Linked DNA regions of Notamacropus eugenii. The protein of the gene in region 3 purifies or fractionates together with the protein of the main gene of each other region. This does not show direct contact. Links are inferred from orthologs where the notes say so. Each region holds a gene or a part of one and is shown on either strand. Other genes may lie near its edges.

What was found.
Region 1: the proteins of CCP110 (region 3) and CCNF purify together in Homo sapiens (affinity purification with western blotting; 7 studies listed by BioGRID and IntAct, with this or other methods). This does not show direct contact. The link is inferred for Notamacropus eugenii from reciprocal best matches to the Homo sapiens genes CCP110 and CCNF.
Region 2: the proteins of CCP110 (region 3) and CEP97 purify together in Homo sapiens (co-immunoprecipitation; 10 studies listed by BioGRID and IntAct, with this or other methods). This does not show direct contact. The link is inferred for Notamacropus eugenii from reciprocal best matches to the Homo sapiens genes CCP110 and CEP97.

What each region holds. Positions count from the first base shown.
Region 1 is NC_092872.1:47,180,688-47,184,434, forward strand, and holds the start of CCNF (cyclin-F), read right to left. Parts: upstream 2,507-3,747; 5' UTR 2,344-2,506; coding exon 2,325-2,343; intron 1-2,324. UniProt on the Homo sapiens protein: Substrate recognition component of a SCF (SKP1-CUL1-F-box protein) E3 ubiquitin-protein ligase complex which mediates the ubiquitination and subsequent proteasomal degradation of target proteins.
Region 2 is NC_092876.1:368,365,394-368,369,140, reverse strand, and holds the start of CEP97 (centrosomal protein of 97 kDa), read left to right. Parts: upstream 1-1,344; 5' UTR 1,345-1,402; coding exon 1,403-1,448; intron 1,449-1,458; exon of another isoform or gene 1,459-1,684; intron 1,685-1,747; exon of another isoform or gene 1,748-1,982; intron 1,983-3,747. UniProt on the Homo sapiens protein: Acts as a key negative regulator of ciliogenesis in collaboration with CCP110 by capping the mother centriole thereby preventing cilia formation. Required for recruitment of CCP110 to the centrosome.
Region 3 is NC_092874.1:399,742,920-399,746,666, reverse strand, and holds the start of CCP110 (centriolar coiled-coil protein of 110 kDa), read left to right. Parts: upstream 1-1,171; 5' UTR 1,172-1,230; intron 1,231-1,494; exon of another isoform or gene 1,495-1,737; intron 1,738-3,747. Other genes in the region: GDE1 (glycerophosphodiester phosphodiesterase 1), read right to left, coding at 1-176.

The DNA.
Region 1 (3,747 bases), on a different chromosome or scaffold from region 3:
GGTATCCCACAGGACTCTATCCTGGGTTTTCTTCTTGCTCCATACTAGTTCATTTGGTGGTCTTATCAGAATTTAATTATCACCTATATGCTGATGATTTTCAAATCTACCTACCTAGTCTTACCTCTTAGATGACTTCTGACCTTAAATCTCCAACTGCCTTTCAGATGTCTCAAACTGGACGTCCAGTAGATATCTTAAACTCAACATGTCTGAAACTGAATTCATTATCTTGCCCCACTAAATTCTCTCTACTCCCAAACTTTCCCATTACTATTGAGGGTACCATCATTTTCCCACTCTCAAAACCTAGATGCCATCCTTAGTTCCCCTCACTCTCATTCTCCCTACCCCCCCATATCCAATCTGTTGCCAAGGCATGTCAATTTCACTTCTGTAACCTCTCTAGAATATGCCCCTTTCTCTCCTCTGATACTGCTACCACCCTTCTTTATCTTGTGCCTGGACTACGGCAATAAGCTGCTGGGGTGGGGGTGAAGGGGGTCTGCCTGTACCAAGTCTCTCCTCATTCCAGTCCAGCCTTCACTCAGCTGCCAAAGTGATTTTCTAAATCAATAGTCTGATCATGACTCTCTCATTATCAAAAGACTCCAGCAGCTCCCTATCACACCTCCAAGATCAAATACAAAATCCTATTTGGTATTCAAAGCCCTTTATAACTTAGCTTTCGGCTGCTACCCCCCTCCACAAACAAGATAGCTTCAAGCATTTTCTCTGGCTCTCTCCCACACCTGGAATGTTCTCCTTGCTTATCTCTGAATCCTGGCTTCCTTCAAGTCCGAGAAAACCTCACCTTCTTCTACAGGAAGGCTTTCCCAATACCTCTTAATTCTAGTGTCTTCCCTCTGCTAATTACTTCCTACTTATCCTGTATTAGGATCGTTTTTTTACGTACAGTATTTGTTGCTAGTCTCACACTTTAGACTATGAATTCCTTGATAGCAGACTGTCTTTTGAGTTTCTATCTCTAGTGTTTAGTACCTGGCACCTAGTAGGTGCTTAATAAGTGCTTATTGACTAACTGAAGAAAAGGTTAAGATATGTTAGCTAGAGGCAGTGTGGAGCAGTGGATAGAGGACGAACCTCAAGGCCAGTTTAGGGTTACAACCGGAGGGTTTAAGAAGACTTGGTTTTAAATCCTGTATTTTGGATGTCTGATCACACCTGGGCAAGTATTCCTCTCCAGTGTTCTAAGAAACTCTCTTAAATCTATAAATTGAAGAGGTAGTACCAATATGCATGGGTAGAAGGAGTTTCCCATATCAATGAGATTTACATAAAAATAAAGTTTGAGTGTTCAAAACCACTGGCCCTCTGGACACTCTCAGGCACCACTCTTTCCTCAGTCTCTTCCCCTTCTCCCCAGTTCTTCTGCCTACTCCTTTTATTTTCCCTTTCTTCCTCTCTTTTTTCTTTCTCCTGTGCCTCAGATATAAGTTTGCTCCTAATCCCACCAGCAAGCTGCTAGCCTTACCACAGTATAACTGTTCGACCTGAGCGAATGCCTCACCCCGTTTTCTCAAAGGTAAGGAGGGAGTTGGACAAAACGAGCCCAGGAGATCCTTTTCGGTTCTAAACTGACGATCCTGTGAACTCCTCACTTCTTACAAACATCCCCCTCAATCGTCAGGTAATTCAATACAACTTGGAAGCAGAGGCAGCAGGGTTTCTTGGGGACAGACCGCTTCGTAGGTCAGTCTGTCCCGCCTCGAAGATCCACCCTGTGAAACCTTGCTTTTCATTTTTAATTAGGGCTTGGAAGGACGAGGCTGCCGGGCCCTCGTCACCCATTCTGTTCATTTAAAAGGCCTCTCGGAAACGGCGTCCGAAGAGCCGCCCGCAGTAACAGGTGGGCACCCGGGCCGAGGTGGCAGCCCTTTAAAGAGCCGAGGCGCTCGATGCCCGGTCCGGGGCTGGGATGGAGAACGCGGTGCCGGGAGTGCGGAGGAGAACCGAGCTCACGTCCCGATCTCGCCCCCCGACCTCGGGGATGCCAGCGGGGCACTTGGCTTCTCCGCGCGTGTAAAATGAGGGGCAGGCCGGGCTGGAGCCGGCGGAGGCTGTGGGGGTGCGGGGTGCACGGGGTGCACGGGGGCCCTGCAATCAGGGGGAGTCCCGGTGCCCGTTACTCGAGGGCTTCGATAAGGAGGACACACGGCGTCCACACGGAGCAAGGGGTGGTAGGCGAAGCCCGCTCGGGGAAGCCCGGGGCCGGGGGCCGGACCCCGAGGCCGGGGAGGGTTCCCCCGGTCCGCGGCGCCCCGGTCCGGCCTCGAGTTTCGAGGGTTCGCTAGGTCACTCACCCCCGCCACGGACCCTCATAATGAGCGCTGCTGCTGCTGCTGCCGCCGCTGCCGCTGCTGCTGCTGCGCGGCCGCCGCCGCCTCCGAGCGCCCTCCGCTAGTCCGGTCCTGGGCAGCCGCGCGTGCCGCCCTCTCAAACCCCCGGGCCCCGCCCCCCGCCTCGCGCCCTTTTTTTCAAACACAGCAGGCGTCTTCATTGGCTGGCTCGGGGCGCAGGCGGTAGGCGCTGGCACTGGGCGAGAGCGGCTCGCGAGGCCGGCCCCGCGGCGCCGGGCCCTCTGATTGGTCGCGTGAAGACGCGAATTCGAATAGGAGCGGTTGACTGGCCGGGAGCCTGGCCTCTGCGCACCGCGGCAGCCCTGGGCTCGGGGCGGGGGCGGGGCGGAGCGTTGGCGCGGGGGCGGGGCGGGGCGGGGCGATGCGGCAGTGGGCGGGGCCGAGCGGACCCGGCCGGAGTCTCTCGGCCGCTCGGCGAAGTCCTGCGGCCTTTCCGGGCGGAGCGCTCGGGCTTCAGAGACGCCTCGGCCGTGACGAGAGGACCTTGGCACCCGCACCCGAGGTGGCCGCAGGGTCCTCGTCGTAAAGGGACAGACTGACGGCCGAAGCAGGCTCTGCAGTCTTTGACCCTGGCTCCTTCCTCCTATTCCAGACCTGGGCTGGCCTCCCCCGAATCCCGAAAAGTCCGCCCATCTTCTTTCCTCCGGCTCCAAAAGGAGGGGTCTACGTTAGCCGCCCCGACTGCTTCGTCTCTGCCCACCCCTGGTATCCTGGCTTCGGCCGCTCCACCGAAACCGCCCCCGGGGGTGGCCCTTGACCTCCTCTGGCAGACTCAGGGGCGTTTTTCTCAGTCCTCCCTTCCTTGACTTGGGTGTTGGATTTTGTTGGGCTCCCCCATCCTCCCTTGGCATCAGGGTCCTGGCTTTTCCTTGACTTGGTCTCTTCCTCATCAGCTTGAACTGAAGTCATCTCAGATCTTAATATGTCTTCTCTTTCTCAAGAGCACAACCTTGAGGGGAAAGGAATGGCCCCTTAGCCCCTTGTTGAGAAGACCCAGAGCCCAGCAAGGCTTGAGCCCCCACACCTGGCTGGGACAGGTGGGGGACCCCTCTCACCACCTCTCCTGCCACACTCTTAGGCCACCTTGGTCATCCTTGATGCCAGGTCAGATCAGATGACTTTTAGCATTCTATTTGGACCATAATTTTATTTTATCATCTATGTCATGTCTGTTAATGATTGACTTGCCTTCTAGACTATGGTATCAGCAGACAGATGGTATGGAAATAACAGAGGGGCTAGCAGGGAGTATTATAAATCAGTCTTCTGAGGGACATGCAAAGTGTCGCTTTACTGTCAGTAAATAGAAATCTCTAGTCAGTTTGGAACTGAAGGCTCCCAAAATGTTTTCCAGCTTCCATGTTAT
Region 2 (3,747 bases), on a different chromosome or scaffold from region 3:
CAATGATCTTCAACTTATCAATATCAAGTCCTGGACAAGGAGACATATTCGTGGAAAAGGTTTGCCTGCTGTGTTGGATGTTATTCTGCTCAAAGTTCAAACAGAAGAACAATTTCCTGTGGGTGGTGAAGTTTTCCTGCTGGATGTGGATGGCTTTGAATCATGGATTCATCGGCAAATGATCTATAGTCACTGATAACACAAGCCTCAGGTTTATTTGTGTCCCCTGGGTTCTCTTATTCTTGTGTGGTAATTAAAAGGGACTCAGATATACTGACCTCATTTAGTTCTTTTTTTTAATTGTCCCTCAAATGAATATGACTTCAGGGGAGGAAGCAAGGACTTAGAATATGCAAAAAAGTCTTTAAGGGCTCTGGACAAAGGTTAGGTACAAGAGCTTCTGCCCTTGGCCAAATCATACTCACTTTCCTTATGTTCCTTGAAGTCTTTTCCCTTCCCATACTTCAAACTTGTGGGTTCTTTAAAGCTCCTGTTCACTACCTCACTTCCACTCTTACCCTTCCTTTGGGACAGCTAGGTGGTGCAGTGGTTAGAGCACTAGGGCAGGCGTCAGGAGGACCTGAGTTCAAATCTCACCTCAGGCAAGACACTCACTAGCTGTGTGACCTTGGGCAAGTCACTTAACCCCAATTGCCTCATCCTGGGTCATCTCCAGTCATCCTGATGAATATCTGGTCACTGGATTCAGATGGCTCTGGAGGAGAAGTGAGGCTGGTGACCTGCACAGCCCTCCCTCGCTCAAAACAAAGTCAAGTGCAAGTCATGTCATTATTTCCCTGATGGCATGGTCTTCTTCGGCAACGAAGGAGGAACACACCCTTCCTTAGGACCAACTAACTCATATTCTCTCTCCTTTTTATTCTATATGATTAATCACTGTACTAACTTCACACGCCTACCGCCACTATTCAGTTACCACCTTCAAGAAGATATCTCCTAAGTATGTCTAGAGAATTACAGACAACCATTAAACGTGGTGCGATCTTCCTGTAGGATGATATTTAGTCGTTTTGCTCCCTTTCTGGGATAACACATTATAATGAGTGAACAGGCTTTCAATATGGGTTAAGAAGCAGGGGATGGAGGGAGGAGGTAGCAGGTATAGGAAACAATTTGCCAATTATTTAAACTACTGTTTCTAAGTTATTTCCAGCTGTATAATTGGACTCCAATATTACTTTAATTTATTAAACCCTCTCTACCAACCAGAAGGCAATGGGTTCTCCCTTCCCACTGGCCCTGGGGAGGAGGTTGTGAGTGGGGGGTGTTGAGGCATGGGCGCTGTGCATCTTGGGAATAGTAGTTTTGCGCTAGCCCAACTAGACTACATACCCCACAGAGCTTCGGGAAGTCAGTTGCCTGGTGTTAGCAAGCGGGAAGTATGGCAATGGCGGCGCGGAGCGACGCGGCTTTATTACCACGAGAAGGTAAAAGTACCTTGTTCGTTTAGTTTAGAAATCCTTTCGCTAAGCCCGTTTACAGTAATCGCCTCTCCACAGAAGTTGGAGTCCCCATTTTATTGCTGCGTTTCAGTTCATATCTTCTCTAGCTGCAGTTAAGCTTGGCGTCTGGGGCGGCGGGGAGTGCTGCCCTCTGGGAGTTGTAGTCTTCCCGCGCTCTGTAGCTCCTTCGGTGACAGGGCGAGGGCCAGAGGGGCTGGACTACAGCTCCCAGGGGACTTCGTTCAGCACCCCACCCCCCACCCCCCGCGCTGATCCCGCTGCTTGTTTGGTTTGTTTGGGGTTGGGGAAGAGTCCTCCCTGGTTGGGAACTGGGCCGAACTGGGAAGAATGAAGAGCTAAATTTGGCAAGAGCATACTCCCCACACCCTCACTCCCCTTCACTCTGCCCCTAGTCTCTCGTTCATCATCTTCCCGTAGGAGGGGACTGATGACTTTGATGAAGTGGGGGCCGGGCGGTCTCAGGTAGGAGCATCATTCATGGACCCACCTGGTCCTCAGGTGAGAGGCTGAGAGACTGGGCCTTGTCTACATGCGGATGGGATGGGTCCTTCCTTATCAGAGCATTCCTCCTCCGCCTTTGCCCAGGCAGGTTGTCACCTTTGTTTTGGCTGGGACTGCAGAGGTTGAGACTGTGTACCCGGTTCCCCCTGCTTGGAGAGGGAACCAGCATCAAAGGTTTTCCATAAAACATTTTTTGAGCCAGTGAACTCCAGATCCAGCGCTCATTCCACAGCATCATGGAAGCCCTTGTGATGAGAGAATACCCATACAGGTTCCCCCCTTTCTGTCCCCCCCACCCTCCCATTGTGAGGTTTATAGCCTATTCTGACACTAGGATCTGGGAGGAAATGAAAAAAAAAACTGGAAGGGGGGAGCACTAGGGGGAACGCCTGGCAGTTTGAGCCTCAAAAGTGGTTTTTGTTGGGTTTTTTTTAGGGAAGGCAGGAGAAGGAGAAGAAAGAGGTCTTCAAAGAGAAATTGTGCTTATCATACCCACTGGCCACCAGATCCTAGTGTCAGAATAGGCTATAAACCTCACGTGTTTTCTTTGGCTCTGGCATAAGGAGTCTTTTCATAACTGTCTAATTTATTTGTGATTTTGACAAGCATACTGTGTTTGTTTACCAGCACCCTTGTGGAGAGAGGAAATCTTCATTTTCTCTCCTCCCACTCCCCAACATAAATGCAGCCTTTAGGGGACTTGCCTCCTTGAGAATATGTTTGTAGCACAATTTGAAATACATGCTGTGACAGATTTAAAGCTAGAACTCTAGAACGCCTCAGTTTGTGAAAATTTGAAACTAGTTTTAACCTTTTCCAACTTAAGTCAATTTCTTATGCCTAGAAAAACAGCTGTGCAAAATATAGGGAAAAATCCTAGTTGAGGCCATTTCATTCCATCACTTCATCCATATCCCTAGAGTTGGCAGAAAATAATATGTTCACATACTTTCAACTCCCACTGCCCTTACTTTATATACTCCAAGAGGAGCTTCTTCCTTTAAACTTGAATATTGTCAAGAGGTTGGAAAGTGGAAGAATGTTACATAGAAGAGGAAGGGGAGAAAGGGAGAACTTTGTACTTGGAGTTAAAATAAGCAACAAACTTAAGGCTCTTTTTGAAGGAGAGAAAGATATGCCCTGAGTGAAAAGTGCCTCTTTTGTCCTCCAGAGCAGGCTAAAATAGAGCCACAGGAGTGATCAGGTGAGAAATCATCTAGTAAAAAGTCAGAGGAAGGAGAGAAAAATAGTGGTGATAAGTAATCTGGAGTTCTCAATTAGCTATTTGTTGACCTGATCATAACAGTGGAGAGGTCTGTTGTCTTTCTGAGACAAGTATCCAAGGCATAGCAGAAAACCTTCCAAATCTTGTCGAAAAGAATGACCGCTATGCACTTATTGTTATTCTGTGGTAGTTGTGCTATTTGGCTACAAATAACTATGAGAAGGAACCTAGAAAATATTAAATATTACAAAACCATGTGCTAAACATGGGCACTTTTCCTCATTATTCCCTATCAAAAGCAATGTATACAGAAAAGAAAAATTGATTTGAAAAGTTAATAGGTTAGTAACAAAGTGGTATCTGAGAATGGTTGGACTTTTGGATCATGGCTTAAAATAAAGGGATGGCTGACTACTGGCCAGGGATAGAATCTTCCTAACAAAGGCTGGTAACAATTTATCAGGTATTTTGCAAATCTAATCCAAAGGGCTTTAAATTAAAAGCGAGTGGGGAAGTAGTATGTCCGTATTGAAGAAA
Region 3 (3,747 bases):
AGCACCTGCAGGGCCCGGCGGTGGGGCACCGGCTCGAAGCTGAAGAAGCGCAGCAGGAGGTAGAAGCTGAAGGTGAAGAGGCAGGTGTTGAAGGGGCTGCGGGTCAGGATCAGCTGCAGCACGAACAGGAAGGAGAAGGAGGCCAGCAGGCCCCCCTGCTCCTCCCACAGCCACATGTCGGGGTCGGGGCCGGCGCCGCCGCGGGCGCCGGCACCCGCAGCCTCCGGGACCCGCCGGGCTCCTCGAGGCGGGGCGCGGGACCGCGACACGATCGGGCCAGTCACCCGCAGAGGGCACCGGCGCGCACAATGGCCGGCCCCGGCACATCCGGAAAGGTAGGCTCCGCGCCGACCAATCAGCACCGCGGAGCTCGGGGCTTTCAAGGCGGGGCGCTGCTATAGCAACGGGACCTAGCGGGCAGGCTGGAGCGTCTGAGGAACTTCGATCGGACTGCGCGGAGGACGGCTCTTCAACCTTGGCTACCACCCCGCGTTCTGGCGGAGGGCCGCTAGGGGGCGCAGAGGCCAAGGCGCTGGCCCCGGCCTGCCTCAGTTTCCTCATCTGCAAAAAAGGGAAGATAATAAAAGCACCTACCTCCCAGACTTGTTGGGAAGATGAAATGAAATTATATTTGTGAACCATTTTGCAAACATCATGTGAATGATCTGATTCAAGAAGCGGACGCTGGGCAATCACACACACTGTGAAGCACTGACACTTCACAGGGGAATGAAGCAAGTGGAACAGCTTTGGAAGCCGGGCATCGCCCAAGAACTCAGGGCTGCTTGGCCTTCTTCCTGGGCTTACTGTTTCATTTTTTAAAAAAATGCTCTTCCGTCCTGCAAGTCTAAGGATGTTCTAAGGCTGGAGACGTCATCTGTAAACCAGTTTGTTGAATATAAAGTTATTTCCTTAAGAGAGATCAGCTGAGAGAACTTGTCTTAAAATACCATTTGTTACATCAGTTCATTTGTTCATCGGTTCTGATTCTGGCTCTTCCACTCATTTGTATGGTGTATAACCTTGATCACATTGAATTCTCTGAAGCTGCTTCCTCATTATTAGTAAAGTAACTGCGTTCTGCTGGTCACTTATGTGACCTTGGGTAAATCACTTAGACCCTTGGCGCCTCTCTGGGAAGTGGGGAATGTTTCATATACCTGGGCGCCTTGGACCAGCATTCGTGGCCACGTCGATGTTTTTAAAGGCGATATTTTCAAAGACAGCACTGTAAGGTCCCTTCCACTTTGACTGCTACAACAGATGACTTAGTTAAAAACAAATCTTTCCCTCTTCTCCCCACCTCCTATTTGGAGGGGGAGGGAGGAGGGAAGCCTGCCTCTTGTGGGAACCACATATCCCAAGATGCAACGTACTCATCCAATCCTGGAGGCCGGACAGGCGGCACGCGTAGCCTTTCGGGAGTTGTAGTTTCTAGTTGGGTAGCCCCAGAACGGAGGCAGTCCCTTTACTCCGGCCCTCCAGCACCGGAAGTGCCTTGCCTGGGAGGCGGAGTGAGGGAGGCGGCGGCGGCGGCGGGCAGCGGCAGCAGCGGTTGCCTGGTGCCGGCGTTGCCGCCTTGAGACCCGTAATATGGCGGGGAGGAGGAGGAGGAGACGGCGGCGGAGCGGGCTGCGCCCTGCAATTAGAGCCTGATCCCTTTGTCTCTCCTTGAGGTCGTGGAGGAAGAAAGAGAGAGAACCCGAAGGGGCCCTGGGGGTTGCGGAAGGGAAGTAGGTGGGTGCCTGGGGTGGGGGGCAGGGCGCTGGGGGCTTCCCACCGCGGCTGGGGGCGGGGACGAGGCGGCGCCTGGGGTCGCCGGGGCTTCCTTCCCTGCCCCTGGCAGTCCTGGCGAACCCCGGTCTGCCTTACCTGGCAGGGTGGGCGAGGGAGAGGCTGGGGTGCATTTGTGGTAGGTCGTGGGAGGAGGAGGAGGAGGAGGAGGAGGATGATGATGATGATCATGATGATGATGATGATGATGATGATGATGATGCGGATGATGCGGGATTGATGGAACTGTGAGCATCACCAGACTGAGCTTCATGCTCCTTCATACTCCTAGGTGGGGTAAGGTGGGGTAAGGGGAAGATTCTAATGCCAGTCGGAAACCTCGGGCGGGGGAACCTGTACACACCTGATTAAAAAAGCAGGAACAATAGAAGTCAATACCCAATTATTTTCCGTGCTTGGGAGGGGTTGATGCCTTACCCTCCCTTTGCATTTTTGAAGAGTAATTCTCTAGCTGAGCAGGCATAGGACCCACTATTTATCTGTTAACTCTTTGCTGCAAGCTACATCTCTCCTATTCAGCTAGTGTTTGTTGAGGCCCTCGTGTTGTGAAACTCTTTAGGTTAGACCTTACTTAGGCCTTTAAAGAAAAAATGGGGGGAAAAAGTGGCCCCGCCCGCAGGATGTTTAATTTATTTGGGGTACAGCGATAAGTAAAAAAATGTGTAAATGTATGATATAATTTGAGAAGGGAGAGCTCTGTGTATGGCATATGAGTAGATCAGTCTAGAAAGTCCTGGAGCTGAAAGGGAATAATGCATTGGATTTTCTTAGGCTGGTGTGAGGTGGTGATGTGGGGAGGTTTCTCTCGTTCAGAGCTGGTCAGGAAATAGCTAATAGGCTAGTTTGACTGAAAGTAAGAATCCTGAAAGTGACTGGGATAGAAATGAGTCTAAAAAGGTACACTGGAACCAGATTGTGAAGAGTTTCAAAAATGCCAGGCTGAGAAGTTTATATTTGATTCTGGAGGCAATAAGGAGCTAGCTGAAGATTTTTGAGAAGGCTGATGTAATCAGACTTATCTAAAACATAATTTTTAATTTTGCTGCTTTGTGGAAGATGAATTGGAAGGGGGAGAGACTGGAATCATGGAAACCAGTTAGGCTGTTGCAGTTCAGGTCATTGGTGATGAGAGCTGATTCATTTGAGTGGAAGGGGACAGGTATGAAGGGCTGTTGTGGAGTTAGTAGAATTGACAAGATTTGACAACTGATTGGATATGGGGTACAAAAAAGAATAAAAATGAGCTCTCTGAAGTTGTAAACCAAATGAATAGAGAGTAATGTCTGTTGGTCTTTATTGCTAGGTTACCACAATAGTTCTCATCTTGCACAGTTGTATCTTACCTTTTCTGAACTTTCTGGTAGAAAGGGAATATTAGATTTCTGGAGTGCTGAATTAATAACGAGTAGGGTCCTAAACTTATGAGATTACCAAAGGATTTCTAAGAAAGGGCTGACCACCCAATTATGTCCAACTTGGGAGCAGCTAAAAAAAGGGAATAATACGTGGTACTGTAGTTACGGTTGGGGTGGCTTTGTGACCTGGGATGGCTTGGTGACCAGAGGCACTCTTTAAGTTTAAAACTTATTAACAGTGGATTGTGATATGAGTAATTCAGCATCCACCTATCTAATCATATGTAACATAGATTACTCACTTTTTAAATGGTTGACATTGTAATTTAGAGGTACTAATTTGCCCATGAGAGGAGGATTGCCAATGAAACTAATCTCGAAATTCTTCTGTTCTTGGATGAATGTTTGATTTACTTTTTTTGAAGGGCTTGGAAATAGGAATAGTTGATAGATGCTTTCTTCAGATCAAGTTGATTAGTTTCTACTCATAGATACAAGATTTCCATTTCTAAATCTCCTTTGCATTTTGCAAGAGACTCTCTGCAAATAGAACTTAAAACTGTGTTTGATACGTACTATTGGTAAAATATTCTAAGGC